Tamandua tetradactyla: one gene and its partners. The protein of the gene in region 3 purifies or fractionates together with the protein of the main gene of each other region. This does not show direct contact. Links are inferred from orthologs where the notes say so. Each region holds a gene or a part of one and is shown on either strand. Other genes may lie near its edges. The genes, in order: ATF7IP, SUV39H1, SETDB1 and CHAF1A.

Region 1 (7,915 bases), on a different chromosome or scaffold from region 3:
TTGACACAACATACATTAACTCACAATTTCAGATGGTCAGGAATATGTATCCCTTGCTGAGTTTCTCACAAGACTGCAATCAAGGGGTCAACCAGAATGCACTTTCCTTTCAAGTATTTATGGAAGAATCTACTTTTAAGCTCATTTAGTTTCTTGGCAGAATTTCCTCATGGCTCTATGACTGAGAGACATGGCCTTTTTGCAGGCTGTTGGCTGGAGGTCACCCTTTGGTCTGAGTGACTACATGCACCTTCTGAAGTCCTCCTGTAGTTACTTGTTATGTGGGCTTCCGCAACATGGCTGCTTTGCTCATCAAGTTAGCATGGAGAATTTCTTTCCTCAGGGAGGGTCCAGTCCCTTTTTTATAAACAGCGCTCACCAGATTAAGTAAGGTTCATATAGGATAATCTCTCTTTTGATTAACTCAAAATCAATTGATGTGGGATCTTAATTACATCTGCAAATATTTTGCCATATTCTATTTGCAAGGAGTGTGTTACAATTTCTCTCTACACTCATGGGAAGATGATTATATAGGATATTAACTCCAGGGAGAAGGTATCATGGAATCCATCTTAGAATTCTGACTACCAGACTTCCTGTTTTCAAGAGTTGTTTCTTGAATTTTCCCAGGTTTGCCTACTCACTTCCTCAATAAACTTTTCTGCAAATTGGAGGCCAGTAATACAATTATTAGGTTGTGGTTGAATCATCTTTTTCCTAATGGGAGTGTGGGGAGTGTAGATATAAACTACTCAAGTTGAGTTTCCTCTGTATTACTAGTACTCCTATAAATACCACTACTATAAATACTGTAAGCTAACACATATTCAGCTCTTATTATATATCCAGCATTGTTTGAAATGCTTTACTGCAATGTAACCTTCATAAAAACCTTATCAGGTAAGGCTATTTTTTATTATTTCCATTTCATACATGTTGGAAAGAAAACTGTACCAGAAAGAGAATAAATGTTCATCTGATTGTGGAGAAGAAAATAATTTATTAAAGATCTTGCCAGAAGGGGTACACAACCGCAATGTGGTGGCTGGTGTGCCAAACAACAGGAGGCAGAAACATTTATTACCTAAGCCTAACACGGGAATCACCCTCCTCTGTTTTCTCATTGTCTGGGTACTCCAAAGGTTACAACCTACCTGAGAGGTCTAACTCACATTTTTTTCCCATATAAGGAAATGGTGCCAATCATTAAGCATACATAAGAGGCTCCTTCCCCCTTCCCAACTGTGGAACTGGTCTGGGCTGGTTTTTCAGCCTTTTGTTTAGTAAATTTTGTTTTCCCCCATTCCATGCCATTTTGTGTGAAAACTAAATTTAATTTTATTCTTACATACATAGGGATGCATTGCATAGAGATATATAAACAACAAGTAAGATGCAAATACAGGATTTGAATTCATATAGTTAGTTTCAGAGCATATTTTCTTAATCACTACTTTATGCTATGTTTTATAAGTATTTAGAAATTTCAGTTTTCTCCTTTGGCTATTCTTTTTTGTTTTCCTTCTTCAATTGCTGCAATTGAAGTTCATTTATTTTATTTTTGGTTTTCTTTTACTGTTTTTTTCTTTTCTCTTGTGAGATTATCTGATCTGCTTTACTATAGCAATATTATTTAAGAAGAATGTTAGTATGAACCAATAAGGCTATACATGGATAAAATGTGGAAATACTTTGGTCTGATTAGTAAATAGGTGCCAGAGTTAGTTTGCAGCTGTATGTACCCCCCCCAAAATTAATCTATCCCTGTGGGTGTGAATGCATTGTAAGTAGGATCTTTTGTTGACGTGACTTCAGCTGAGGTGTGACCTACCTCAATCAGGGTGGGTCTTAATCCTGTTACTGGAGTCCTTTATAAGTGGAATGAAACTCTGACAGAGGGAGAAAGCCATGGAAGCAAGAAAAGAAATCAACAAAACCCAGAAGAGAGGAGAGAGATGAATTGACAATGCTTTGTACCTTACCATGTGGCAGAGGAGCCAAGAATCGGCAGCAGCAGGTCTTTGGGACAAATGCATCACCCTGATGCTGCCTTTATTTGGACATTTTCTTAGCATCAAAACTGTAAGAGAATAAATTTCTTTTATGTAAGCCAAACCATTTCATGGTATTTGCTGGAGCAGCCTAAGAAACTAAAACATTGTCCTAACTCTGAATGCCCCTCAGTTCCTAGCTCATGACTCCTTTATTTCCACATAATTCAGCAATTAAAGGATTAATATTTGATAAAATAAGGGGTCTTCATGCCTGCTTTCATTCTGATTGATAAGTGCCTAGTGCCATAGGGACTAATAAACATTTTGAATACTATTTCTCCTAGAAGTTGAATCCAACCCCTATTTATTCTTTGTGTTTTCTGTTTTATCTAACCTGAATTCTCTTTCTTTTGTAGCTAGTTTGACAGTCAGACTTTAAATTCTGCATGATTAGTCAGATCAAGTTACATCTCTGTGAAGTTTTTCCACATAATAAGGAAGATTTGGGTGCTCTTCTTTTATATTTCTTTTATACTTGGTATATATCTTCCTAGTAGTAAAGTTCTCATATTTATCTCTATATATGATTCTTACACTTATAGACCAATGGCAGAGGCAGTGTTATTTCCTTTGGGCATCTCCAGTGTGTGTAACAGTATCTGAATGCAGTATAAATAGTATGCGTGTTGAATGAATCAGTTAGATTAGTTAGATAAAATAAACAGGCAAAGTGGCCAAAGAGACTGTTTGTAAAAATGTGTGATTAGGGATATCTGGCAAGATTCAAATAAAATAAAACTAGGTATTGGGAGACAAACATAGAATGTGACGTTATCTAAGACAACTGATCAGTGAATTAATGCTAAACTATTTACTCTTTTCCATTAGCACAATTCAGAGATTCCGTTTATTTGCTTATTAAAGAAATATAAAGAGAAACCTAATGGGTTTGATTATTCCAATCCCATCTCTATTGTTATAGAATGGAACTCTTTTTTTTTTTTTTGCATGGGCAGTCACTGAGAATTGAACCTGGGTCTCTGGCATGGCAGGCCAGAACTCTGCCTGCTGAGCCATCATGGCCTGCCCTATAGAATGGAACTTTTAATATTTATACTAATATTTTAATTTACTGAGCATATATTTTATAATTTGAGCATCTATGTACTAAATAAATTATGCCAAAATTTTATTATAATTGAATACCTATTTATCACTTGAGCACTCTTAAATACTATGTTCTGTGCTGAATATTTACAAAGTTTAGTAATTAATGAATGCAAATCTAATCATGTCATTTCCTGACAAACTCTTTTAAGAGATTCCTTATTGGCTTCAGGATAAGGTACAGGTTTTGATAAAGAAATTTATTAAATCACCTCTGATGTGAGATTCTCTCACATAAGGAGGAAGAAGGAAGGCTGTTATGATTCCTGAAGTCTGGATTAGGTAATCCTTTTAAAAGCTATTCTGTGTTTCAAACCAGTTGAAAGTCTCAAGTTATAAAAATATTAAACACCCTGTGCTAATCTTGTATTACTTAGAACATTTTTCTTTTTAGTTTTCCATCTCTTCCACTAGAGTATAAAATTCTTGAGAAAAGGAACAGTGTCATACTCACTGTTTAATTCCAGCATCTAACATATTTCTGGAGAAGAGTGGGGTGGAGAAGAGTGGGGTGATTGCTAAATAAACAGTGAATAGATAGATTAAGGGAGAAATTCCTTAAAAAAAAAACCACCACCAAATCTTAGGAACTGATAAGGCTCCTCCTCCTTTGCAAAACACATTTATACTACTTATCTCATCAGTTGACCCTCTCAACCAACTTGAACCACAGGCAATATTTCCACTTTACAGATGAGAAAACTGAGTAAAACACTTATTCCAGCCAACAGGTAAGTAAGAAGTAGAAACATGATGTGAGCCCAGATCTCCCAATTAGTAGGGTAGTGCCCTCTCTACACCTTGTGGTCTTCAAGTGAATGTTCATTACCAAGGTAAAATTGAATGCGATGGACACAAATTTTGGTGGAAGGATATGATCGGAAATGCTCGCTGTGTCACAGAAAACTGAAAGAAAAGATATCTTGTCTCCATTTCCTCATTACTAATACAGTTCAAAGTATGTTTTGTGAATTAAAAACAGAAAAGAACTAAATATATTCAGCTTCCTTTTTTGAAAATGTTTTCTTAGTTCTTCAACTCTCACATATCCACTTCCTTTTTTCTTTCCTATGCCTCATAGAGGGCGCTCACAAAGTGCTTTACTCACTGATTGTACAAAGGTCCACTCAGAAATACACCTCACGCTGCAACTAAAAGTCGCAGCGCCACCACCTCATACTTCCTTCTGGTTTCCACGGTAGGAGGCGGGGCCAAATTTCCTCATTCAAATAAAAACCCAGGATATTTGCATGGGGAACGGCCAGTCCGTAAGCCTATTGGTTGATAGCCTAATGGGCGTGGTCAACACACGCGCACGGAGACCCGCCTACATTAATTTGCATAACGGCCCCGGCGCGTGCAAGAGAGAAGCGGGTTTGTTTTTGAATCTGCGGAGGCGGCGGCAGCAGCGGCGGCCCGGCGGCTGAGGCGCGCGAGACTGAGGCGGCAACGTTCGGGACGGCGGCGCGGGACGGCTCTGTCAGAAGGAATTTGGTTCCCCCTCCCTCAACTCCCGCCCCAAAAGGTATATGTGAATCCCAGGGGCTCTTATGACCACATTTTCTTGAATTTCTATTGTATTTCTGAAGAGTAAAGACCGCATTATGGCGGCTGCTGGAGTTGTGTTTGCGCCTGCGCGGTTGCGGAGTTGCGGACGGGCGCTGCATGGGAGCACGTGATCTTGCGGGGGTAGGGCTCTAGCTGCAGTTGTGCAGCTTGGCGGGGCGGTGGCTGCGCAAGCGCAATATTCATTTTCAAGATCTAATGTTCTTATTGGGCGCCATTTGGGTTCTAGATTTATTTTTCCATATTTTTCAGGGGTTTCATTCTGTTGCCTCCAAATTTCCATATTTTTCATGGAAGACCTTTATTTTATATCTTATTTCTTTACCGACTTCAAGCTCTCCTCAATTTCTCCGATTCTCTGAGAAGCTGTGGAGGTGATTTTCTGTAAAACTGTGTGACTTGTGGTTCTCGATTATAATTTCATTTTTTTTGGGTGTTGCTGAATTCATGTTTTATTAGGAAGTTAACGATCAGTTTCTTGCATCTAATAGTGTTTTCCTGGGAAGTGCATGTATTTGAATTGCATATTAGCAAATATTTAACCCTATTTTTACCAGTTCTATCATGGTTGTGTGGAATGTTTGCAGAATAGAAACAATTTGTGTTTTGAAACTAATAGGGGGAACCTGGGAAGCAGTGAAAGAACATACAATGTAGTTTTAAAAGAAACCTCGTTTTTTTTTTTAATCTTAACTAAGTTTTAATTTTTATAAGTTTATGTGTCTCTGAACCTACTTAAATGTGAATTTCACATTTTTTCAGTCTTCGATCACTTGTTTATTTCTGAAATACTTAATTTTGGTTAGCTTATTATTGTTATTCTTTTAAAAATCTTTCTTATTTTATTTGTCAGTATGAAAATTATACTTCACAGTGAAGTATAATACTTGGTCAATTGTTCTGATAAAGAGTTCCACAAAGTCCCAACTACACTGAAGTCTTTGTGAGGAAAACAAGTAACCACCAGTAAAACTTAGTTGATTGTTAATAACTCCCATGTTAATGTGTAGAAGATACAATTGTTTTAATTTTTTTAATAGTGTGCTTGATTTTAGTTTCTTGAAAAAGGTGGTTATAATTGCTCATGTATTATTTATTTAGTTCAAATAGTCTCATTTTAAGTCGTATATGACTCCTCTGAGTGAAGTTATTTGATATGATTTCCCATTATGCAAATTATTTCTTATGAGGCTAAAAACTTGTAAAACAATTTTCATAAACTTTGTCAGTGGTTTGTATATATAACAATTTGTTTAGCATTATATAGCCCTAAATTTAAATCATTCTGTCAGTGAAGAAGTGGCAGTGTTTTATAATCATGGTCAGTTTGGGAACGTTTTTATTGCCTTAAATCAACCTCCTTGGTAACTATTAACTAGATTTAATTGAAAAGGATAGTTTTGAATGGTGGATATTTAAATGATGTCACCAGAGATAGAGTGATAGGAAACATTTTTTTTTCTCATCAAAATCTTTAGTATGTTTCAAATTTAATTCCTTCAACTCTGAAGTCTTCTATGCAGAAATGTCTTTCGAGGGCAGTTGTGTAATCTTGTCCCTTTATTCTTCTGGGGTGGTTACCCAACACTCCCCTTCCCCCCACCCAAGAACGCGCGCACAGACACACACACACACACACACACACGAACAAATCCAGGATAAACACTTATTTCTGATAGTTTAATGTTGCAAATATGTCATTTGAAAAAACATCTGTGTGTGTATGGATATGTAGATACATATTTAGGTTAAAAGAACTTTGGTCTTAGGGCATAGTTCCCTTTGCATGTACAGAAAAATGAAATATTTTGGTTTATATATTTCAAATTTGGCTTTAGCTTGAGTATACATATGATTGTTTTTTAATTAATATTGAAAGTCATAAGAGACACTTGAAAACACTGAAGAGCATAATGTACAATGTAAAATCTATTGGGAGGACAATTTTGCTGTCATGTTTTTAAAAAAAGATATAATACAAAAAAAGTAAGGTTAATGAACTGTGTAACCATGCACTGTTCCTTAGTACCCTGTTAGTAACCATATTCTGAAATTTTAGTTTGGTGGTTATGATGCCACAAAATTTAGACACATGTGGAGCCTGTATAAATATTAGACCAAGTTACTGAATACTAAGTGACTGGGGTTGTTTAAAATCTTTCTAGTTTTGTGAATTTTAAACATAGCCATAAACCATTAAATTTTACTTTTTTCTTTAAATCATGATTTGAATATGTGACCTTTTTTTATTTATTATAGAATGTTTCTGAAATACATTGAGAAATAAGCACTCTAAATGTTTTAGTGATTTTTGCGAAATTGCTTTTCCAGGCTTGATAAATCTGTCAATTTTTATTGATCTATTATTTTTTCATTGGGATCACAATTTTATTACTGCTTTTTCAACTTAATATTATATTGTGAGTATTTCTTCATGTCATTGTTCTTCTAAAATGTTTTTATTGGCTACATAATGTTGTACTGTGAAAATATTTCCAAATTATGAAACATTCCTCAAACACATGATTTTGAGTTGCTGTGTAATATTGCTATATCAAGTAAGAACGTGCTGTGACTTGCTAGGCCTTGTGTTTTTTTTTTTGTTAAATTTTGTCTTGTCCATTTCTGTATTATAAGTAATGCTACAGTGAACATCCTTATATAGCTCAAACTATTACTTTGAAATTACCATTTCAAAGGCTTGTAAGATAATTTTCCAGATTGTTGCAAATTTAAATGTCTTTTGAAAAGTATTTCTCATACCACCATCAAATTTGGTGGATGAAAAATAGCTCAGCAGCTTTCCTTTGATAACTAGTAAAGTTGAATTTTTTAATGCCTTAACCATGCATTTTCTCATTTTGTGAATTAGCTCTTTTTTTTTACTTTTTCTATGGTGGGTGTTAATGTTTTCTTACTTGTTTATAAGAGCTATTTATGAATATTAGTTCTTTGCTTTTCATATTTGTTTTAGCATTTTTTTTTGCCGATCAAATACCTTTTAAGTTTTTTATGGTTTTACATATTCAAAAGTTTTATGTTTTTATGTAATCACACATACTGCGTTTTTTCCTTTGTGATTTCTTCCAGAGCTTCTCTGCCTAGAAAATATTACCTTTTGTGAGATCAACTAAATGTTCATCTATATGGCTTATTTTTTCCTAGAATTCTAAATTTTTTTTCCT
Region 2 (6,863 bases), on a different chromosome or scaffold from region 3:
AGTCAAAAAGCCAGGATTTGAACCCAAGCATGCTGGCTCCAGTCTGTTCTATTCTACTGTTACCTCCTTTGGCAACAATAACAGTTTCCTTTTCACAGTGTTACCCGAGGGATTAAATGAGTTTCTGAGAGGAAGTGCCTGGCACACTGAAAGTGCTCAGTAACTATTAGCTATCTTCATCTCCATTCCTGAGTTCTGCATATAAGAAGTATTCTCAATCTTTGCAATTGGTTTGTCTTCCGAGGGAAATGGGAAGAGAGGCTTATTTGGGTGAATTCATTCTGGCCCTATCCCCTACCCCCTAAGAAAATCACTTAAGTTTCCCCATCTATAAAATGGGGACAATAAGAGGGCCTAGTCACCCTGTTTTTTAAGATCAGGAAAGAAAATTCCCTTTGGAAACAGATGCAGGCATTATTAGGCAAGAGGGCAGAAAGCCACCTTGAGACACCCTCCACCCCAGGGCTATGGTCACCCGCAGACTCACGCGGATCTTCTTGTAATCACACAGGTACTCGACTTCAAAGTCATAGAGGTTCCTCTTAGAGATGCCAAGGGCAGGGCAGGAGAGCTTAGCCAGGCGGCATAGGTCCTGTAACTGATTCCAAGAGGACTTGCAACACACACTGCAGCCTGGAACAAGGGGACAGGAAAGAACTATTACTGGGTAGCCTGGCCAGACTAGGGGTCAAAAGGGACTACCAAATCCTGCCTGGGACTTCTCAGGTACTGCCTCATAGTCAGTCATATTCAATCCACAGGCCTTCCCCAATGCCTTCCACAACCAAAATGTACTACTTCCTTAAACCCCAAGGGTCACTGCCCAAGGCTACCCCTGGAGCAGCAGTCCTCAAAGTGGGGTTTGCTGCATGAATTGTCCTAACAGTAAACATTCCCAGAGCTTCAAATTTCCTCTGTACTATTTCTTAAAACTGCCTGCAAACCTGCCTTGGGTTCAGATCAGATCACCCTTCTACCTCCTTTACAAAAGAGAGAACAACCCCCTCCACCCCCTTATCAGTACAGGGAAGGTGGGATTAAAACCTCTAAGGTACCAAACAAAGCATAACTGGAAAGACGGGTCCACAACCTTTATCTGAAACTCCTGAGGCCCAATATGTTTTGGAATTCAAATTTTGAGGGGATTTTACAATTGTAGTTCTAAGTATATACCATATATCACCTAACACCCCTTGATTATACCATAATCAAACACATTAATATTTCTACAGCAAAATTATAAATTTTCACATTAAATAAGAGAAAAAGAGGTGTAGAATAGCAGCACTGAATAGTCCCACCTTATAGTCTGGTTTTGCCACTGAGTGGTGCCAAACATAAGAAAAATATTTCAGTTTTCAGGACTTTTTCAGATTTCAGAATTACGAACAAGAGATTGTGGAATGGTATTCAATTACAGGAAGCTTCCCTGAAGCTTTAAGTATGGATGCCTTAAACACATGCTGCTTTTTTTTTTCACACTGCTTTTGACTTTCTCTGTCTCATCCACACTTTTGTGAAGGGTAAAGCTCACCCAAAGGGGAATGTCTGAAATCACGAACAGGCAAAGCAGTACAGGTTAGTGACAACCATTTTTAAAAGCATACCTGGAATGATTCCTGAGACTACCAAAAATTTTCATGCGACATAGATTTTTAAAAAGCAAAAGATTTCTATCTGACTTAGGACTAGGTCTTAAATAATGTGCTTAGAAGCCATTTTAACAAATCGTTTCACAAAACACTTGTTGCAAGTATAGTCCATCCTTAGCCTAGTTCATCTTTTTAATGCTTAATATTTTTTACTTCCCATTACAAAAATCAAACTTATTTAAACTTGGGATTAAACACTCAAGATATCAACCTAAAAATGTACAAGAGCTTTTCGAAGTTAGAAAATTATTTCGTGTGCACTTCACCCCCTCCACTTAGGCAGGCCTAGACACTTCAATTTCATATCTCCATCCCAGATTCTGGGCCTATGCCCACATTTTCCTCTTCCTTCCAAACCCCCAAACCTACATTTGAAACCTTACCTAAAGTGGTCCCAACTAAGATGTCCAGGTGCTGGCTCCAGCATACACCACAGAGAGACCACAGCTGGACTCTCCTACCCGCCTAGAGTCCCCCTCACACATCCTCTCCGCAGCTTTCCTCACACAGAGGAGCTATCCCTCCACCCTAACAAAATACCAAGAACGTCACCCCTCTTTCCCTGCACAGTGTGGAGTCCAACTCTATTAGAGAAGCCCCCTTCTCTTCATTCAGCGGGTGTTCTCTCTCCTCCAAAGCCTTCCCCCTCGCATCGAGAGGAGACACCCTACCCTGTTGAGTCCCCTGTCCCCCAACTCTAGGAAGATCCCCTTTCCTCCCCCTTCCTTTCCAGCGTCTCGCGTGGACACCAAGCGGGTAACGGTCACCGGCGGCCGATTTTCCCGCGCGCGGGCGCGGCCTCCCCAAACAATCTCCGGCGCGTAGGCGCGCCGGGTCAGATCTCGATGTGGGGCGTGCGCGCACAGCCCTACCCCGTCCCGCGACCCCACTGAGCCCCGCGCCCGCGGCTTCCGAGGCACGCGCCCCCTTTACTCAGCCCCGCCCAGCCCCGCGCACCAGGCCCGCGCTCCCCGAGCCCCATCCTTTCCGCGCTAGGCTCCAGGCTCCCGACTCCGCGGTCTCGGACTCCGGGGCCCCGGCCCGCGTCGCCACCCTTCCAGTTCACCCCAGCCCGGCCAGCGGGCCCGCTCCGCTGCCGCCACCGCTTCACCTTTTAAATTTTCCGCCATCTTTCCCCACGGCTAACGACATTCGGGCCTAGCCGGCCTCGCGAGAAGAGCGCTCGCGCGGGCGTGGCCGACAACGCGCAGCCTATTGGCCCGGGCGCGCCACGAGCGGCGCGGCTCCGACCAACCGGCGAGTCGTGACCGGACCCCTCCCCGCCACTCTGCCGGGTCCCGAAGGCGGTCTCGCCGCCCGCTGTTTCCCAGAGTGCGTCTGCACCGAAGCGGCGGCGGCGGCGACTGAGGTTGCCGGAGGCACTCCCCGTATGCCACTACGTCTGTCTTGCAGTTGACCAATTATGTCGTCAGCCTGCCACAAAGGGGGATTTGCCGTCCTATCAAACTCGTCAGTCAGTCGTCACATTTAGGCCCAAGCAGGCGGTGAGTCCACCAGAGTGGACTCTAACCACGTACAGATACCAAGGCAGTCACTTCATTCAAATCAGAGAATGTCACGACAGCTGTCTAGTCAAAATCCCCACCCCATTCAGCGTCCATCTGTGTCTTCACACCAGCTGTGATTCTCTTAAGGCTGACAGACAGCACTTATTACCAGCTACCCTGCTAGCCAACCAGCCTGTCACACCCTCAGACTGCCCCTTCTGTCAGTCACTCAATCAGCTGGTCACTTCTATCCTTGCCCTGGGACCAGCTGTGATTCCACCTCACGGAATCATATTGTACACACCCCAGTAAGCCACAGCGTCCAAATATGCCCCCAGGCAGGTTGTGATTAGGTCAGGACAGGCTGTCATTGTCAGCATCTAATATAACCTTGTCAAGGCAGCCATACTGTCAGTTGGTCACTCTGTAATCGCTTCAGGTTGCTCTTCATTCACACCCTGAGCAGTTTATTCAGGTACAATACCCAGCTAGGCCCACAGAGCAAATTGTCAGAGCAAGTAAAGGTACAGTAAAGTCACAATGCCACTTTCAATAACTCAGTAGTTTCTCAAGCACACCATTGATCAGTCAGCTTCCTTTGTTCCACTGGGCTCCTTCAGGAAAGCTGTGATTCCATCAGGGCAGTCTGTAGCCATGTACAGCCATTGACTCAGGCAGGTACACTGATCTTTCAGTTGATCAACTACCCTGTGATTCCTTCAGTCTACCCCTCATCATATTATCAGGGAATCATCCTCAGCATCCAATTGACTACATTAATTACTACTGTCTGTCAGTTGGGCAGTCAGAGCACTCAGCCAGGCCCTCAAGCATGGTGGCCAGTCAGGGTGGCCAGTCATTCACCATTCACAGTTGCCTATCAGGCAGCCACAAATCTGTTGATCAGCCAGCCTGAAATCCCCTTAAGGTAGCTCTCCTTTACACATTCTCAAACAGTGTAACATCCATCCCTTAGGCCTGGCATGATTCCTGGTAATAGTCTGTCATTCACAACATCCTGCCACCCAGTTAGGCAGCAACACCATAAATCATCAGCAAGTCAATAATTCCTTTAGGAGGCTGCCTGTCTTCCACATTGTGAGACTACCTGCCAGTCCCAGTGGGGGTTGAAATTCAGTCAGATGTTCAGTACCTCCCAACATCAGGAAACCACATCATCAGTTCCTCAAATTGCTCCTCTCCTTGTCGGTTCATGAATAATACTGTCAACCAGTTTTACAGTTAACCAAACGGTTATTCTGTTTGCTTGCCAGTCCAGCTATGAGCTAGTTAGAGCAATGGCTGGTCAGTCAGAAGTTCCATCAGCCCATACTTGGCATGAATGGAGCACTCAAAAGAGTAAATTCCACTATACACCTCCCTTCCCTTCCTTACTCCTTCTAGAACAAACTCAGGTTCTGGTGCCTCCTTATTCAGGCAAGACCCTCTCATATCCAGAAATCCTGGAGACTTGTCCCAGGAGAGTAGTTTAAAGAATGACCTTTTCCTTCCTCATCTGGAGGGCAACTGGGGCCCTGTTAGTGGTGGGGAGCATCTCTTGACCTTTCCCAAACAGTATAACGTACTTGATAAAAGCATGGATTCTAAAGCCACTGCCTGCTTTCACATCCCAACTCTACAACGTACCAAAATGTGTGACGTTAGGCAAACTAACCCTTCTGGCCTTCAGTTTCCTCACTTGTGAAACCTCAGGTGAGTGCTCTTGGGGTGCGCATCTCCCTTTTATGTAGAAAATGAATCTTATTGGTCTATCACCTTTTCAAGGCACCTCGAAAGTAAGAGGTCATGTAAAATCACCAAGATGGTGGAGTGAGATGCTCACTGCTCCACCACCACCTCCCCCAAAGAAGTGTTAAACAACGAAAAAAACAGGCAGACCCATCTTTATCTCAGCTCTGGAAGACAGTAAAAGGGTTGCGTCCCAACTGGCAAGTCCCAAATTAAAAAAATAAGCAACTTAAAACAGTAGGAAGCACTAGAATGGCCATTATCAAAACAACAACAAAACGACAAGTGCTGGTGAGGATGTGGAGAAAGCGGCACATTTATCCACTGTGGGTTGGAATGTAACATGGTACAGCCACTCTGGAAGGCAGTTTGGTAGTTCCTCAGGAAGCTAACCATAGAATTGCCATATGATCCAGCAATCCCATTACTAGGTATATATTCAGAGAAACTGAAGCAAGGACACAAACAGACATTTGCATACCAATGTTTATAGCAGCATTATTTAGAAGTGCCAAAAGATGGAAACAGCCCAAATGTCCATCAACAGACAAGTGGCTAAACAAACTGTGTTACATACATACAATGAAATATTACACAGCTGTAAGACAAAATAAAGTCATGAAGCCTATTACAATGTGGATGGACCTTGAGGACATTATGCTGAGTGAAATTAGCTAGAAACTAAAGGACAAATTTTGTGTGGTCTCACTTATCAGTAAACTAACATTAGTGAGTGAACTTGGAGAATGGAAGATAAGAACACAGGTTATCAGGAGATAGAAATAGGGGAGAGATTGGGAAATTGGTGCTGAAGGAATTCAGATTGTGCAACAAGACTGATTGCAAAAACTCAGATATGGATAGCACAACACGACCTGACTGTAGGATAATAATGTAAGTACACTGAATGAAGCTGAATGTGAGTATGGTTGAGGGAGAAGGGCTGGGACAAGTATGAAATCAGAAGGTAGGATAGAGAATGAAGACTGAGATGGGATAATTTAGAAATGCCTAGAGTGGACAATGATGGTGATTAAATGTACAAATTTCAAAATGTTTTTGCAGGAGGAAGAACAAAGGAATGTCAGTATTGCAAGGTGTTGAAAATAAATGGTATATGGGAAAAAGTACAATCAATGTAAGCTAGGGTCTGTGGTCAACAGAAACATTGTAACGTGCTTCCACTGAATGTAACAAAGGCATTATACCGAAACTAAATATCAATAGGTGGGGGGATTGTGAAAGGGGTATGGATTCTTTGTGGAAGAAAAGAAAATAGATTATGGTGGTGAAGGCATGTCTATTCACTTAGGCTGGATTGTATAATGTGTGAATAAAACTATTTAAAAAATGGTCAGACAGTTTAATTGAACACCATAAATACATGGAACCTTGAATAGGACATGAGATTTTGTCGATTTGTCCAGAGTGATGCCCCGATAAATCACAGGAAAAAAAAAGGGGGCGGGGATGAACTACTGATACACACTGCAGCATGAATGACTCTCAATATCACTAGATAAAAGAAAAGTACATTTTCCTGTGATTCCATTTAAATAAAACTGTAATAAATGCAAAACAATCTACAGTGACAGAAAGCAGTGAACGGCTGGGGTTGGGGTTTGAGGAGGAGTAAAAGGAAAAGATTACAAAGGGAGAGAGGAAGGTTTCGGGTGATGAATTTTTTTTTTCCACAAAAATAGGAACAAATATTTTATTAAAGATTTTCACTCTTTCTGTACTACCTGAACCTTTATAAAAACTATAGTTACTTACATAAAATATGAAAAAATAAGGTAAAGTTATGAATGTTTAACAAAAGAAATCTCTGGGCTTTGCAACTCCATAGTTTATTCTATGACCAAGTAGTTCTGTATAAGATGAGAGCTACATTAATAAAACATCTACACATTGCTAATTCATAAAAATTTAATGAGAAAAGATATACATACTT
Region 3 (7,153 bases):
GAAGCCAGACACAGAAGACAACAGACTGAATGATTCTGTTTTTAAAAAACTTCTAGAAAAGGAAAAACTAGAGCAACAGAAGGCAGATCAGTGGTACCTGGGGGTGAAAATGGGGATTGATGGGAAACAGGCACAAGGGAACTTTTAGGGGTAATCCAAGTATTCTAAAACTGGATTGTGGGGAAAGTTGCAAAATTGTGTAAATTTACTAAAATTCAAACCATACACTTAAAATGAGTGGATTTTATGGTATGTAAATTATACACACATAGGCACTAATGCCACCTACAAAGAAAAGCAAGGGAATTCAGAATAGAGATTATCCAGGATAGGGAAAGGAGGACAATGCAATTAGACATTGTATTTATTATGCTAACAATATTCTATTCTTTTCCTCTAGCAGGCAAGTCAGGTAGTTTGGAATATGAAGTTAGTGATAACAGTTTCTCCTCTTCTGTTTTCATCTGCTCCTCTTTCAGAGTTTCAACTTCAATCTTTGAAACTTCCCTATCCAAAGCCTTATCTCTTACCTGAATCAATACTGAGGACATCATCATCTTCATCAGGAATCTCAATTATTTCTGTAGGCCGGGAAGCTTCATCCTCAGAGCTACTTTCCCGATACTGCAGTCCCAGCTTGGAATAGAAGTCCTTCACCAAAGACTCACAATTAGTCACTGCCCTAATATTGGAATATATGTAGAAAAGCAGAGAAGGTAGGTGTAAGAGTCGTTAGGATTTATATATATTTAAATATAGACTGCCCTTAACTTACAGACCATATTCCAAAGTGTCTGTTTAGAATTTGGAATGCTTACCATAGAAAAACATTTTAAATGGTGGTATGGTTTCCAAACTAGTTCCTTGAAAATCTGGAAAATAAGTTCAAAGTCTTTTCAACCTTACTTCATAATTTACTTTGTGATTATTTGAAAATATGTTCTCAGTGACAAAGAGGGCACCAGAAACTAATCTTTTTGGGGTTTAGAAGCTGATAGAAGTTTTAGGAACTCATTAATGCTCCATAACCACATAAGTCAGAAACTCATGACAATCCTCACTCCTTAGGTGATCTTACTAGGGAAAAAAGTAGTAAAGCATAATGTGTTTGGCACTGTGTCATGAACAATTATACTTTAAAAAACGCCAACGGAGAGAGTTCCTTCTCGTTTTCATGCAGTCCTCACCTGGACGCATCATCAAAGAGCTGATCAACATGGGCCACTTCAGATTCCTTCTGTATTACCCATGTCTCCAACTCTGCTAGCTGCTTCTTGCGTTGCTGTACACAGTCCATCTTTTCCAATTCTTCATCAATGAACTGCCGAAGTTCCTCCATAGAAATGCCCAGCTCCTCCACTACTGCCTGTTGCAGCTCTGCAATCTCTTCAGACTCCACTGCAGCTGTTGCTGCATTCAAACCAATGCACCCAGGGAGGGAGGACATCCTGTTGTCCTCTGCATGGAACAGAAAACTAAAATTACCTTTAGGGTCATTATCACCACAATTAATAAAGAATTTCAGTTCCCTAATAGGGAACTTATTCCTACTAATAGACTTATTCCTACTGTGCTGTTATCAAAAAAAAAAAAACAAAAAAAAAACAGTTAAATTTGATTCTATATTCTCTCTTCCAATTCTCCAGAACCTGTTGCTGAGATTTTGTAGAGTTCTCAGCTCACACTACAGACTAAGAGGATTGATTTAAAATTTTGGGAGGGCATGGAGAACATGATCCCATAGGCTATCTAGTTATCTTACCTTAAAACTCACAACATATAAATGTTTATTTTAGCTGTCAAGTTCTGTACCTGCATCTCATATCAGTATATTACCAAATGTCAGGAACTGCTTATATTTACATTGTCCTTTCTTTTTTTTTTTTTATGCAGCATCTAACATGTAACATGTAACATTTAAGCCAGCGAGAGAGCTTTTGAAATGAGCCTTTAAAATTAAGTTGGAGGCATTCCACGTGGGGAAAATCCATGAAAGCGTTTCAACAACTTCGGATGTTTGGGGGTAAACCATAGGTGGTGGTGAGATACGAAGCTGAAAAGCTAACTTGGGGGCCGTATTGCAGAATGACGTGAGAGTCCCACTGAATAAGTTTTATTTAATTCATTTTGTAATACGGAGCTACTGAAATGTTTTAGGAAACTGAAGAGAATCAATCTACAGGTCAATCTTTTTGACCTAATATGTTCTTTATTTGACTAATGAAACAGAACTATGTCTACATATTATGCCAAATTTGAACAAATACCCTCAATCGGGGAAAGATTATCTGTAGCTTACTTTACACTTGATTCCCCTACTTTGCTTCCATGAGAAAATGTACATCTACATTTGATTGTTGTTTGTAATGCCCCTTAAAAGGCTACAATGCGTAAGCACAGGCAAGCGTGTAGCAAAAAGAGGTTTCTTCGAAGGAAAGAGAAATAAATTAGTCTGGGAATAAAATATGGCTACCAAATAAAATTCACAGTCAAAATAACCCTCGTTAGTATGAAATTCTTTTTCGATCAAAAGTTTAAAGCAGGACTGATACCGAATTCTGGGTTTAAAGAAAGATTGATGCTGAATTCTATGCCAGTTCTCTGTCCTCCATCTTTCCTTTCCTCACACTCGCCCCTCCCCCGTGCTACCCATTTTAGGGGTACGTTCCACCCACCCGCAATCCAGGCTGAGTCCCGCCCACGCTCGCTTCGTGGGGAAACTTCCTTTTCACCCCCACCCGACCTCCTCCCGCAAACAAAAATCCCACCCGGGCCTTTAGGCTCCGAATACCTCAATTAACAGTAGACCCCAAACCTCCCCGCATCCCGCTCCAAAAGCTCTGCTTTACCAACCAGATCCTAGACTTACGACTTAGGGATCGGCCTCCACGGGAAAAGGAAACAACGAAACCGAAGGGAAAAGGGAGCAGGGGGAGGGATGGAAACGCGAAAGAGGGAAGGGGAAGCTGCAGACACGCCCGGAAGTAAACCTTAAACACTGTTCCGGTCACGGCGACGGTAGCCTGACGGGGTCAAACCCAAAGCCGCGCGGAGTCCCCAGAGAGTCTAGGCCAACTAAGGCAACCACGCATGCGTGAAGCCGAGTCGGCTACCGCACACGTGAAAAGCGTTTGCTCGCGGGTCCGGTACTTTGAAGAATCCTGCGGTGCTTCTCTGCTGGTAGCGACAGAGCTACATTTATCGTGTAAAGACTCACTCGGCAAACACTTAGATTTAGAGTTCTTTTCTCACTTTTATTTGAATTTGTATTATTACTTAAGTCGTAGGAATTTAGCAAGTCGAAAGGTAACAAGATGTAGTTAGAAAAATGTAATCTCCTCCCCTTTCCGCCGTCACTTCCCCTACTCCTTTGAGGCGCTTACATACACATTCATGTATGGAAATTGTTTTGTTTTCACTTAACATGGGTATATCCCTTGACGTTAATAAAGGTAAAATACCCTTTTGACAGCTATATAGTAGTTCGTAGTATAGTTAAACCATATTTAGAAATTTAGTTTGCAGTTTTCAGCCACTACAAACAATGCAACAATGCAAAACATTAACATTATTTTGAAGTAGTACTTTTTTGTTGAAAAGATTCCCCAAAATGGAATCTCGAGCAAAAGATAGGTACATTTTTCATTTTAGTAGAAATTACTTTGCAAAAAGGTAACAGTTCACACTCTGATTAGCAAAGATCTTCTCTTGAAACATTAATACTTGTTTGTCCTAGTTTGGAAATGTTTACTATAGCTTTCTCCTCCTCTACATTATTTTTATTTTTCTTTTAGCTCTTTTTTTCTCGTCAGGAAAACTTCCAGAGCTTCCTAAACGGCATGTCTTGTAGATTAATTCTACATGTAGCTCTAAAATGTGGTTCTGATCATGTCACTCACTTCCTTTTAAAGGTTCTGTTTTAAAACATGAGCATGCTGATGTTCATATCAGCACTATTCACAATTTTCAGAAGATGGAACCAATCCAGGTGCCTGTCAACAGACGAATGGATAAACAAAATGTGGTATATACATGTGATGGAATATTATGCAGCAGTAAGATGAAATGATGTCCCAAAGCATATGACAATGTGGAGGAACGTTGAAGACATAATGCTGAGTGAAATAAGTCCGACACAAAAGGACAGATACTGTATGATTCCATTTTTACGACTGTGATCAAGTTAAAGCCACCAGTGTTTTGGAGCAGTAGAAGGAAAAATTTGAGATGAGGGCATGGTAGTCCGTGACAAACTGTGGGACCTGTTCTGTAGCTGCTTGTTATGAAGTGTGCTTTGAAAATTGTTTTTTTTCTTCCTTTTCTGTATGTTATATTTTACAACTAAAAATGGTTTAAAAAAAACTATAGGCAATTATAGTAATACTAGATAAAATAAACACCTGAAATAAAAATTTGAAAATATTTAGGAACATAGATCACTACTATAGCAAAGGTGATATTTGTGATAACTTTTTACTTGATATTTTGAGAGTGCATACAGAATGCCTAATCAAATGGTATTTAAGATAATGTCTAATGTTTACAGTTCAAGTAACTCTGATATCTGTATTTATAGATTTTCTTCCTTCCTTGCTTTAATTTTAAATTGGTTTATGAAACATATTGTACAAACAGGCTTTATGATGATTCCTTAGGTTTTTTTTAAATATGCCTGTAGATAAGCTAACTAGGATATCCATTTTAGGTGGTTAAGATTCCCATATGTCAATGGTAAAAATATTTGTATATTTATATTTTCCTGAAATGAGGAAAATATTTAGTAATATAGATCATTACTATAGCAATGCAGATATTTGTAAGAACTTTCTACTAGATATTTTGAGAACATTCACAGTTTTGACAGCTGATCAAATGATATCTTAGTTTTTAATACTTAGAGTTTAAGAACTTTGCTATCTGAATATGTAGATTTTTTTTCTTGTTGCCTTAATTTTAAACTGATTTATGAAACTTGTGCAAACACAGGCTTTACAATAATTATATGGACACTTTATTTATGCCTATGGTTAAGCTAACTTAGATATTCATTTTTGTTGGTTTTAAGTATATTATTTGTTTCCTTAAATAAAAAAAAACTAAACAAAAAGGAGTAACTGTCCTAGACCACTATCATGGTCAGGTTCATGTGTCAGCTTGGCTAGGTGGTGGTACCTGTTTCTCTGGTTGGGCAAGTGCTGGCCTGTCTGTTGCTATGAGGACATTTCATACAATTAAATCATGATCATGTTGGCTGCACCCACAGCTGATTGCATTTGTAATCAGCCAAGGGGCGTGTCTTCTGCAATGAGTGATGCTTAATCTAATCACTGGAAGCCTTTTAAGGAGGATTCAGAAGAGACAGCTATCTTCCTGCTTCAGCCCACGAGCCTCTCTTGTGGAGTTTGTCCAGACCCTCCATCGGAGTGGTCAGCTGCACAGCCTGCCCTGTGGATTTTGGAGTCATCCATTCCTGTGGTTGTCCAGCTAGCCTCTCCTAAGAGTTCATGAGGAACTTCATCGGAGCTGCCAGCTTGCAGCCAGCCATACAGACCTTGGACTCTACGTTCCCACGGTTATGTGAGACACTTTTATAAATTTTATATCTGCACATATTTCCATGCTTCACCCCTGCAGGATTAATTCCTGCCTCTGTGTTTCCATTGCCTTAGTTCATTCCGCTAGTGAGTTGACTTGCGTATGTTTGTTTCCTCTGGCTTGTGATCAACTCAAGAGTCTGTCTTAATGACCTTTGTTTCTCCTAGCACCTACACAGGGGGCCCCTTAATGTATGCTGAATGAAGGGAAATCTTTGCTATGCCCTGGTTAAGTATATTTCCGTTAGATTCTTGCAGCTTTCCAGTGTCTTTGTGGGGGAGGTGGGTCTGGTGAGGAAAAACAGGAGCTGCTTGGAGCATCATATTCCAGTTTGATTTCTTCATTGCCCAGAAAGCTAAAGTGGTCAGTCCTGTAGAAATCAGCAGAGAGATGCAGGAAGTGTGCTCTAAGGCCTTGCTTACTCAACATGCAAGGCCTTAGAGCATGAGTTGTGCAACTAGGTGAATGAACCATGAGAACAGAATGTTGAGTGAAATAAGCCAGTAATGAAAAGACAGATAGTATAATGCATCACTTATATGGACTAACTACAATGTGCATACTCTGAAAATTGAATTTGAGAGCAGAGATGGTCAGGAAAGTCTCATTGTAAAGGTTCATGCTCTAAGGCCTTGCATACTCAACATACTAAATATGTTCAAAATTCGAAATCTCCAGTCCTGCTCAAGATGTGCCAAATCCAAATTTGCATTTTAATAAGCCTACAGGCTGATTTGTTTGTACATTAAAACTTCTCTGAGGCAAACTCTGGATTTCATCTCTCAGCTTCTCTTGGCTTTCTCCAGGTTCTGGCTATTTCTGTGAGTTCTTGCTCAGCACCCAGAGTATTTCTGTTTTCATCTCCAAATGTCTATGTCTGCTGTCTGTGTTGGCTCCTTAAGGACTCCAGTAAATTAACTAACACCCACCTTGAATGGCCGGGGTCACATCTCCATGGAAATAATATAATCAAAATGTCCCATCCAAACAATGGGTCTGCATCCCCAAGATTGGATTAGGATTAAGAGAACATGGCTTTTCTGGGGTACATAACAGTTTCAAACCAGCACACAAATGCTTGTGAGGAAGCAGGGTTTCCCCAAGTGGAGAAGTTTTAATATTTCCACATTTTTCCCTAGTTCCTCAATGGGATTTTTAAATCTTCTGTACCAGGTTACTCTGGATGTATCAGATTATCACACTAACCTGTACAAACCAACAAAGTCTCACTCCCTTTTCAAGGTTCCATGTAATTATTGTGTTCGAATAAACTGCCCATACAAATTAAATTAGATAGTGTGCCATAGAAAATATAAATTTTGCACCAAATAAATATCTCTTCCTTTGGTCTCACACAGAAATTGAAGTTTTAAAATACAGTCAATATCATCCTTTAACCTTTCATCTGATTGACCTTAGTCCTAACCAGATCAGCTTTGTTCATGTCTTTAATTGAAGGCTGACTTCTTTTTCAGCTTTTTTTTTTTTTTTAGCAGTTGCAGTATGGGGTAATGCTGACTTTCATAGCTGCAGAACTGTAGCTCTGAGGCGCAAGTTT
Region 4 (7,013 bases), on a different chromosome or scaffold from region 3:
CGGTTGTTATAAGCAAAATTTTGCCTCTGCCCAGTATTCTACAGAGTGAATCCATAGCTCTCACCAGATTTGTGAATAAAGGTGCTGGGACTTCCCGAAAGTCCCGTTAACGGTCACATGTAAAATGCATATATTTTTGGACTCAGCATTCCACTTCCGGAAATTTCCCCTATCTGTGAGCAAAGATATCATTCACTGCTACTGTTTCTAGTAGCAAATTATGGGAAGTAATCTAAATCTCCATTAGAGACAACTGGTTAAATAAATGATGGCATACTTCATGGAAGAGAATACCATGGACCCAAGAAAAGGATCCAGGAGGAGCTGGGAGTGGGCTCCAGTGCAGTGCTCTGGGGAAAGGGAGGAAGGGACAATTCTGTTCCCTTCCCCAGAAGACACTTGGTGATGTCTGGAGACATTTTTGATTGTCACGACTGGGGACGGGGTGCTGCTTGCATCTAGTGGGGGGAGGCCAAGAAGGCTGCTCAAGCCCCTCCAGTGCACATCCCAGAGAATGATCAAGCCAGCCCCAAATGTTAATGATGGGTGCCAAAGCTGAGGGGAAAAAACCTCCACTCTGGTGTGATTCCAAGACACGTTGACCGAAAAACCCAAAGTACAGAGGAGTATGTAGTAGAATACACTACCTCTATGTGTGTGCGTGTTAAAAGGAAAAATGCACACATATCTTTGGAAAGGGATATAAGTGGGTGACAGTATCTGGCCGGATGGAGGGAATGGATGTCTAAGGGATGGGTATGGGGAACTGACTTTTCACCCCACTCTTCGAATGGGGTACCCTGTCTTCCAAAAAGTTATTTTAAAGAATCAGCTCTAGACGCCGATCTTCCTTGCCTCTTGGCTACCTGGCAAGTGTAGGTTCCGGCGTCGACTGCCTCGGGACTCATTCTTCCCCTTTCTGCCCCCCTTCACCTTTAGAGGGGAGGAAAGGAGAAGAGGGTTCTAGGCTTCTGGACAACCTCAGGGCGCACCCGTGTACCTACCAGGGGCTCGGCCCATCCTTTCAGAGAAGACCGGGGCCCAGAGGGTGGGCAGAGTCCGGGCCACCTCCGGGTCCCCGTCCCTCTTGACTCTTGAGGTCTCTCCACTCTGGGGGTGGGGTGTGTGTGTAAGGACATGTGCTAGAGCGGCCCCCCTCCCCTGGGCCCGGCCCCACTCCTCTCGAGCCAGGACCGGACCCCCCGACCTCCAGGTAACCCGTGACCGACGGTAAACCCCTTGCCTCGGCCTCCGCTCACCTGGCTCGCCTTGTAGAACTGTTTCTTCAGCCCCGCCACCGACATGCTGCCTCCCGCCGTCCGGCCTCCCGGCCGGGCCGCACAAAACGAAGGAACCGCAGAAGTCACAGGTTCCCCGGCGCCGCCGACCTCCCGCGCGCCGTAGCGGCCCCCGTAGGCGCCGCCTCAGCCGCCCTCACGCCAGCTCCGCGTCCGCCGCGGCACCGCCTCTGCCCCTCGCGCGCCTGCGCTGCCAGGATATTACATGGCAACCGCACACTTCCGGTGACGGACGGGCGCGTGCGCGCGTCCCCCTCGGCCCCCGCCTGCGTACGCGCGCCCCCTGCCGGCCATGGGGCGCACGCGCACTTCGCCGGCCGCGGGAGAGTACGCCTCCGCCAGCGAGTTGGACTGTCGCCCAGCCTGGAGGGGTCGAGGTGGCTGCAGCGACCCCTGGATTCTCGGAGGTTGCCCTGAGTTCTGAGGTAAGGCGCCTAATGAAACCTCTCCGGAGCGGCTGGGACGGCAAAAGAGTAGATGGAGACCCAGTAGGCTGGGGATTACAATCTCAGATATATGTCTCCTGATCTCTGCTATACCCAGTTTCTCTCCCCTCAGCCTCCCTTGTCTTCTTCCATTCTTTCTATTATCCTCTATCCTCCTTGTCCTGCCTGATCCAGGCCATTCCGTTAGCTTCCCCAGCATCAGCTTCACCCCTCCAATTCATCCTTTACAAGGCAGCCGGAAAGAAGCCCCTATGACATAATTCAGATCACAGTGGTCCCCTGTTTAAACGGAACCCACTGCTTACAAGAAACACTCCAAACTTCCTAATATAGCCTATAAAGTCTGCATAATCAGAACCACACAACTGTTCTGACCTCATAATCCATGATACCTGTTGCCTGTGTGCCTTTGCTGAAGTTGTTCTCTTTTTTGCACATTCTCTCCCCCATCCTATATGTGGAAAGAGGATGCTGCTTGAAATGTCACGTCCTCCAGGAAAGCTTCCCAAGCTGATAAATGTTTGATATTATTTTTATCAATTTTAAAATTAATTCTTATTGATATAAATTTATTAATTAATCAGAATGAGTAAACAAGACTGAAAGATAAAAAAGAAAGTGATTAGAGCTAACATGCTTGGGACTTCTTTGCTGAAGTCTCTGATGTTCTTGGGTGGTTTTCTGAAGGCAAAAGATTGCTGGAAGTTTCCAAGTGTCTTAACAGAAGATAACCAGAGGATTGCTTCAGAAATCCCCAAGGGATTTTTTTTTTTTCCAAATGCCCATGTCTCAGCTTTACTTTCCAGGATCCTGCTGTAGTAGGTGGGCTGCTATGAAGAAGCTCCCCATGTGATTCTGATGTGTACACTCAAATGTCTAACTCACTGCAGAATTGCAAAGTGAGAATGCCTGAGAAGGAAGGGAAGACGTTCTCATTATTGTGATGGAGAAACCAGAGGGAGGAAAAACATCCTCATTGTTTGATGGGGAAACCAAGGCTTGAGTGAAGTGACTTGTCTGAACTGATATACTCCAATTCCCTGTTCCTCCAGCCTCTTTTTTCAACCAACTCTAATACTTTAGCTATCAAATCAACCTCGATAGAGTTCCAAACTTGGGCTAAATTTCAACTTCCTTTCCTCACCTCCGTTCCTGCTCTGTTTGGGAGATTAAATTGGTGTTGGGGAAAGCTTGTTTCTAAGACTTGCAGGCTGACATTGAGGGTCTCTGTTTTGTGTGAAGCTTTTACTCTCCATGATCTGCACAGTTCAATCAAGTGACATTTATTCATTCTAATATTTATTGAGCATCTACTATCCATCAAGCAACGATGGGTCCTGGGGTTACAGTGATAAAAACAATACGAATTCTGCCCTTATGGAGCTAATGATAAAAACAAATAAATTCATCAATCAAATAATATGCTGACAAACAGATATTTACAAGCTGTAATTGCTTCAAGTAAAGGAACAGTGACCTAATCTCATTGGGTGTCAGAGAGGAAAGCTTCTCTAAGATCTTCAGAGCTTAAGATCTGAAGACTGAGTAGCAATTAGCCAGGCGAAAGAGCTGCGAAAAGAGTGGTTTAGGTAGAGCAAACTGCATGTGCAAAAAAGCTGAGGATTTACCAGAAACATCCATTTCATTCATTCACTCAAATGTATTTACTGCAAAGCAAATGCTTCTGAAGCGCTGCCAAGCTTTTATTTCATTGCTCTTATTAAAAGTAATTTATCTATCAACTGCTGTTGCTATATTTAGTTGACGTCTAATTGGGGTAAACTAAATACTGCAGTTTAAATCTTTTCATCTAAATCGCCAAGCGTTTTCAGGTTGTCACCCACTGTCTTACGTAAAAGGGCTGTCATGACGTAAGAGCTTGGCTTTCGCTCCCTGGCCCACGCGTCCAACCAATCACAGCGCCTGCCTCTAAGCTTGAAACCTGCTCTCTCCAATCGCAGGGCACTTCCACCCAACCAATGACAGGACGCCGAGGGGAGGTCCCGCCCACCCCCACCCCCCCAGTCACGGGAATATTAATAGGGGAGCAATGGGAGGAATGGAGGCAACGGCTCTCGCGAGGGTACTCCTAGCGTTCCCCTCTTCCAGAGGCGGGCCTTCACGTGACGCGATTTTGCCCAATCCGCGTGCGGGCTGCAGGGGTCGCCGCGGTTCCCGCCAAATACGAGCGCGGCGGCCCGGGCAGCAGCGGCGCGGGCGGGAGGGCGAGCAGTAGCGGCCGCCTGAGGGGAGCCCGCGCCTCCGCCGCCTCCGCCGCCTCCGCCGCCTCCGCCGCCTGAGGGGAGCTCGATCCGCCGCCGGGGTGATGCTGGAGGAGCTGGAGTGCGGGGCGCCGGGCGCCAGGGGAACGGCCCCAGGTCGGTTCTGGCCCGAGCCAAGGGGAAGGGGGGGCGCGGTGCGCGGCCTGTGAGGCGGTTGGTTGCGGACTGGCCTCCGGGCCCCGGGCCTGCTGGTCTGCGCCCGGCACTCATCTCGCGGGGGCCGGTATCATCCCGACGAACGGCCTTGTGACCCCGAGGGCGCCTTTCTTGACGTTATTGTTGAGGCCGCGACCATTTTCTTCCGGCGGTTTCGCGTCACTAGGTCCTTACAGGGCCCGTCGGGGCGACGGGTCTGTAGGGTCCAAGGGGGGCTGGAAACTGAAGCCCAGGGAGGCGGAAGTGCAGGCTCTGCCGGGTACCTAGTGAGCTTGTGGCCCCTGAACGAGTTGGACCTTGCAGCTGCTGGATGGCTGGGCGGGGAAACTGAGGCCCGAGGTCACACGGGCTGCAGGAACCGGAACAGCTGATCCTGTGGGTCAGGGCAGGCCCAGGGAAGAGGCCTGATGGGGGGAATGTCAGGGGGCTGGAACTCCCCGGTTCATGAGCTTGACTGATATGCAAGTCTTTCTCCCTGTATCATCCAAGCGGGTCTTTCTGGTACTTAGCAGGTCCTCCAATAATTGGGGCGAACCATAGAAAAGAAGACTGCTCTCTCCTCAGCTTGATTCCCTATTATATCACGCACTTGGGACTGACTGGCACGTAGTAAGTGCCAGATAAATATGTGTTGGTTGAATGAATTAAAGCCTGGAAGGGACATCAACTAGTCTAATCTCAGGTTACCCACCACAGCACTGTTGATATTTGGGACCAGATCGTCCTCGGCGGGGGTGGCGGTGTGCAGAGCCATACTGTGCAGTATACAATGTTTCACAGAAACTCTGGCCTCCAGCCACTGGATGCCAGTAGCACCCCCAAGTTGTAATAACTAAATATGTCTTCAGACACTGCCAAATGTCTCCTTGAGGGGGGTGGGGTTCAGGGCAGAATTGCATGCCCACTTTCCCAAGAACCACTGCTGTAGTTGCTTCCAGACTTCAGCATGTTGCAGAGATTTGAAATTAATATAAATAAGTTGAGGACTGACTGTCACGGAGCTGTGATATTTTGATTTGACCAAGTAGGACACTTAAAGGAAAAATAAAAAGCAACACCTGCTCTGCCCATGCTATTATAAAAGGGAGGGATGTAATCTCAGAATAAAGAGCAGCTGGCAACTTTATATACCATGTTTATTGAGCAGCCTGGATTTCCCGATGGTGGGGTCCCTTTTTCTATGGAACCGAGGTTGCTTCTGGGCCATGTCACTTCTGTTCCATTTGCATTAAAGCTAATGACTCAGTGCCATGCAAATTGATATAATTTAAGTGGTTAAAGATTATCCTTTATTTGAGAGAGAAGTCCATGATCTTGGTCATTGTAAACTTGATAGTATTGTCTTTCTTCCTGGAAATTGGTAGAAAGGAAATATGAATCTTTTGGATACCTTTTCTTCTCTAAACTTTGTGGGGGTGGGGAGTAGAGGAGACACTTTCATTTGGGAAAGCTAGAATTTTTAGATAGGCCCATTCTGCCTTTAAAAAATACTCACTTTTGAGTTTCTTATGTAAAATGTGTAGTTTTACTGAAAAATCTAAACTGGATTTTTCCTAGCCAGGTCTCCTAGCAGGTGCGAACTTCTAAACTGATTTTAAGCTATTTACCCTAAGATTAGTCCTATTTATAGTTGTTTTTGCATCTCCTCTGATATTATTAGATGCTTTCCTTGAGATTTTTTTTGGTGCAGAAAACATTCTCTATCATATTGTGACAGCACTTCAGCTCCTGCCTGACAGGTTCAGTATGCTTTAAATTGTTAAATTGTATTAACTTCATAAACTCTTTTAAAAAAGAAGGTGGGGGAGGAAAGTGACCCTTATTTGAATTTTACAGATGGGCAGGGTATGTGTGGGAGGAGGGTGTTTCACCGTCATATGATGGTGAAATGGCTAATAAAATGTTTTCTTCCACCTTTGCTGTTACCCATTCCACTTTTCACTGTCCTTCTGATTGTATTTGTTCATTTCTCAGTATAAGCCGGTCTCTGAGCTCAGTGCTGTAGATTCATTCAGTCTGGGATAAGTCTCTTCACTGCCATAGAGCAGCTTCTGTTGGGGGAGACATCAATACAAAAGTTTCAGAACGATGAGTGATGAGATTGTATCCAGGGCAGGGTTTCTCAGCCTTGGCGTTAACTTTCGGGGCCAGATCACTCTTTGTGGTGGGGGCCATCTTGTGTGTTGTAGGGTGTATAGCAGCATCCCTAGCCTCTACCTGCTTGGTGCGGCAGCACACTGCCCCACCCCCACCCCGGCCCCAGTGATGGCAGCCAGCACTGTTTCTAGTGTCCATATGCCCCCACAGGAGAACCACTTTGTACATAAATAGGTTTGGCATGTATGTTTGATGATTTCATTAGTCCCAACACTTAATAAATTGTCCTTTGACCCTTTATTTGCAGCCATGGATTGCAAAGACAGACCAGCTTTTCCAGTCAAGAAGTTAATACAAGGTAACTTTGGAATGGTTTGAATAGCCGTTCCTCATTTATATCTCTCATCATCTCCTAAATCATGTTTTTTAATTCCTGTTGAGTGAAGGCTCTCTGTCGTGATCCTCAGAGAAGGGACTGGAAGGGAGAAAACCAGTTGGTCTCAAGAGAAAGTTGGGATATTCATTTTGTCACGCAAATATACCCTTGTGTACTCAGAGCAAATTCAGAGGCCCCTGCTTCTACACCACGCTTTCTACACCTCGAGCTATTGACATTTCAAACCAGTTAATTCTTCCTCGTGGAGGCCCACCCCATGTATTAATATGTGCTTAGCAGCATCCCTGGCCCCTGCTTTCCAGATTCCAGTAGTCAACCACCACCACAAGTCAGGACA

What was found.
Region 1: the proteins of SETDB1 (region 3) and ATF7IP purify together in Homo sapiens (affinity purification with mass spectrometry; 6 studies listed by BioGRID and IntAct, counting the BioPlex papers as one, with this or other methods). This does not show direct contact. The link is inferred for Tamandua tetradactyla from reciprocal best matches to the Homo sapiens genes SETDB1 and ATF7IP.
Region 2: the proteins of SETDB1 (region 3) and SUV39H1 purify together in Homo sapiens (affinity purification with mass spectrometry; 3 studies listed by BioGRID and IntAct, counting the BioPlex papers as one, with this or other methods). This does not show direct contact. The link is inferred for Tamandua tetradactyla from reciprocal best matches to the Homo sapiens genes SETDB1 and SUV39H1.
Region 4: the proteins of SETDB1 (region 3) and CHAF1A purify together in Homo sapiens (affinity purification with western blotting; 3 studies listed by BioGRID and IntAct, with this or other methods). This does not show direct contact. The link is inferred for Tamandua tetradactyla from reciprocal best matches to the Homo sapiens genes SETDB1 and CHAF1A.

What each region holds. Positions count from the first base shown.
Region 1 is NC_135333.1:76,972,642-76,980,556, forward strand, and holds the start of ATF7IP (activating transcription factor 7-interacting protein 1), read left to right. Parts: upstream 1-4,909; 5' UTR 4,910-4,928; coding exon 4,929-5,104; intron 5,105-7,915. UniProt on the Homo sapiens protein: Recruiter that couples transcriptional factors to general transcription apparatus and thereby modulates transcription regulation and chromatin formation. Can both act as an activator or a repressor depending on the context.
Region 2 is NC_135353.1:121,570,002-121,576,864, forward strand, and holds the start of SUV39H1 (histone-lysine N-methyltransferase SUV39H1), read right to left. Parts: upstream 3,001-6,863; 5' UTR 2,783-3,000; coding exon 2,764-2,782; intron 634-2,763; coding exon 488-633; intron 1-487. UniProt on the Homo sapiens protein: Histone methyltransferase that specifically trimethylates 'Lys-9' of histone H3 using monomethylated H3 'Lys-9' as substrate. Also weakly methylates histone H1 (in vitro).
Region 3 is NC_135330.1:4,640,190-4,647,342, forward strand, and holds the start of SETDB1 (histone-lysine N-methyltransferase SETDB1), read right to left. Parts: upstream 3,002-7,153; 5' UTR 2,870-3,001; intron 2,864-2,869; exon of another isoform or gene 2,792-2,863; intron 1,459-2,791; 5' UTR 1,448-1,458; coding exon 1,188-1,447; intron 683-1,187; coding exon 531-682; intron 1-530. UniProt on the Homo sapiens protein: Histone methyltransferase that specifically trimethylates 'Lys-9' of histone H3. H3 'Lys-9' trimethylation represents a specific tag for epigenetic transcriptional repression by recruiting HP1 (CBX1, CBX3 and/or CBX5) proteins to methylated histones.
Region 4 is NC_135337.1:77,704,509-77,711,521, reverse strand, and holds the start of CHAF1A (chromatin assembly factor 1 subunit A), read left to right. Parts: upstream 1-4,000; 5' UTR 4,001-4,070; coding exon 4,071-4,122; intron 4,123-4,171; exon of another isoform or gene 4,172-5,921; intron 5,922-6,096; exon of another isoform or gene 6,097-6,233; intron 6,234-6,586; coding exon 6,587-6,637; intron 6,638-7,013. Other genes in the region: SH3GL1 (endophilin-A2), read right to left, coding at 1,260-1,304. UniProt on the Homo sapiens protein: Acts as a component of the histone chaperone complex chromatin assembly factor 1 (CAF-1), which assembles histone octamers onto DNA during replication and repair.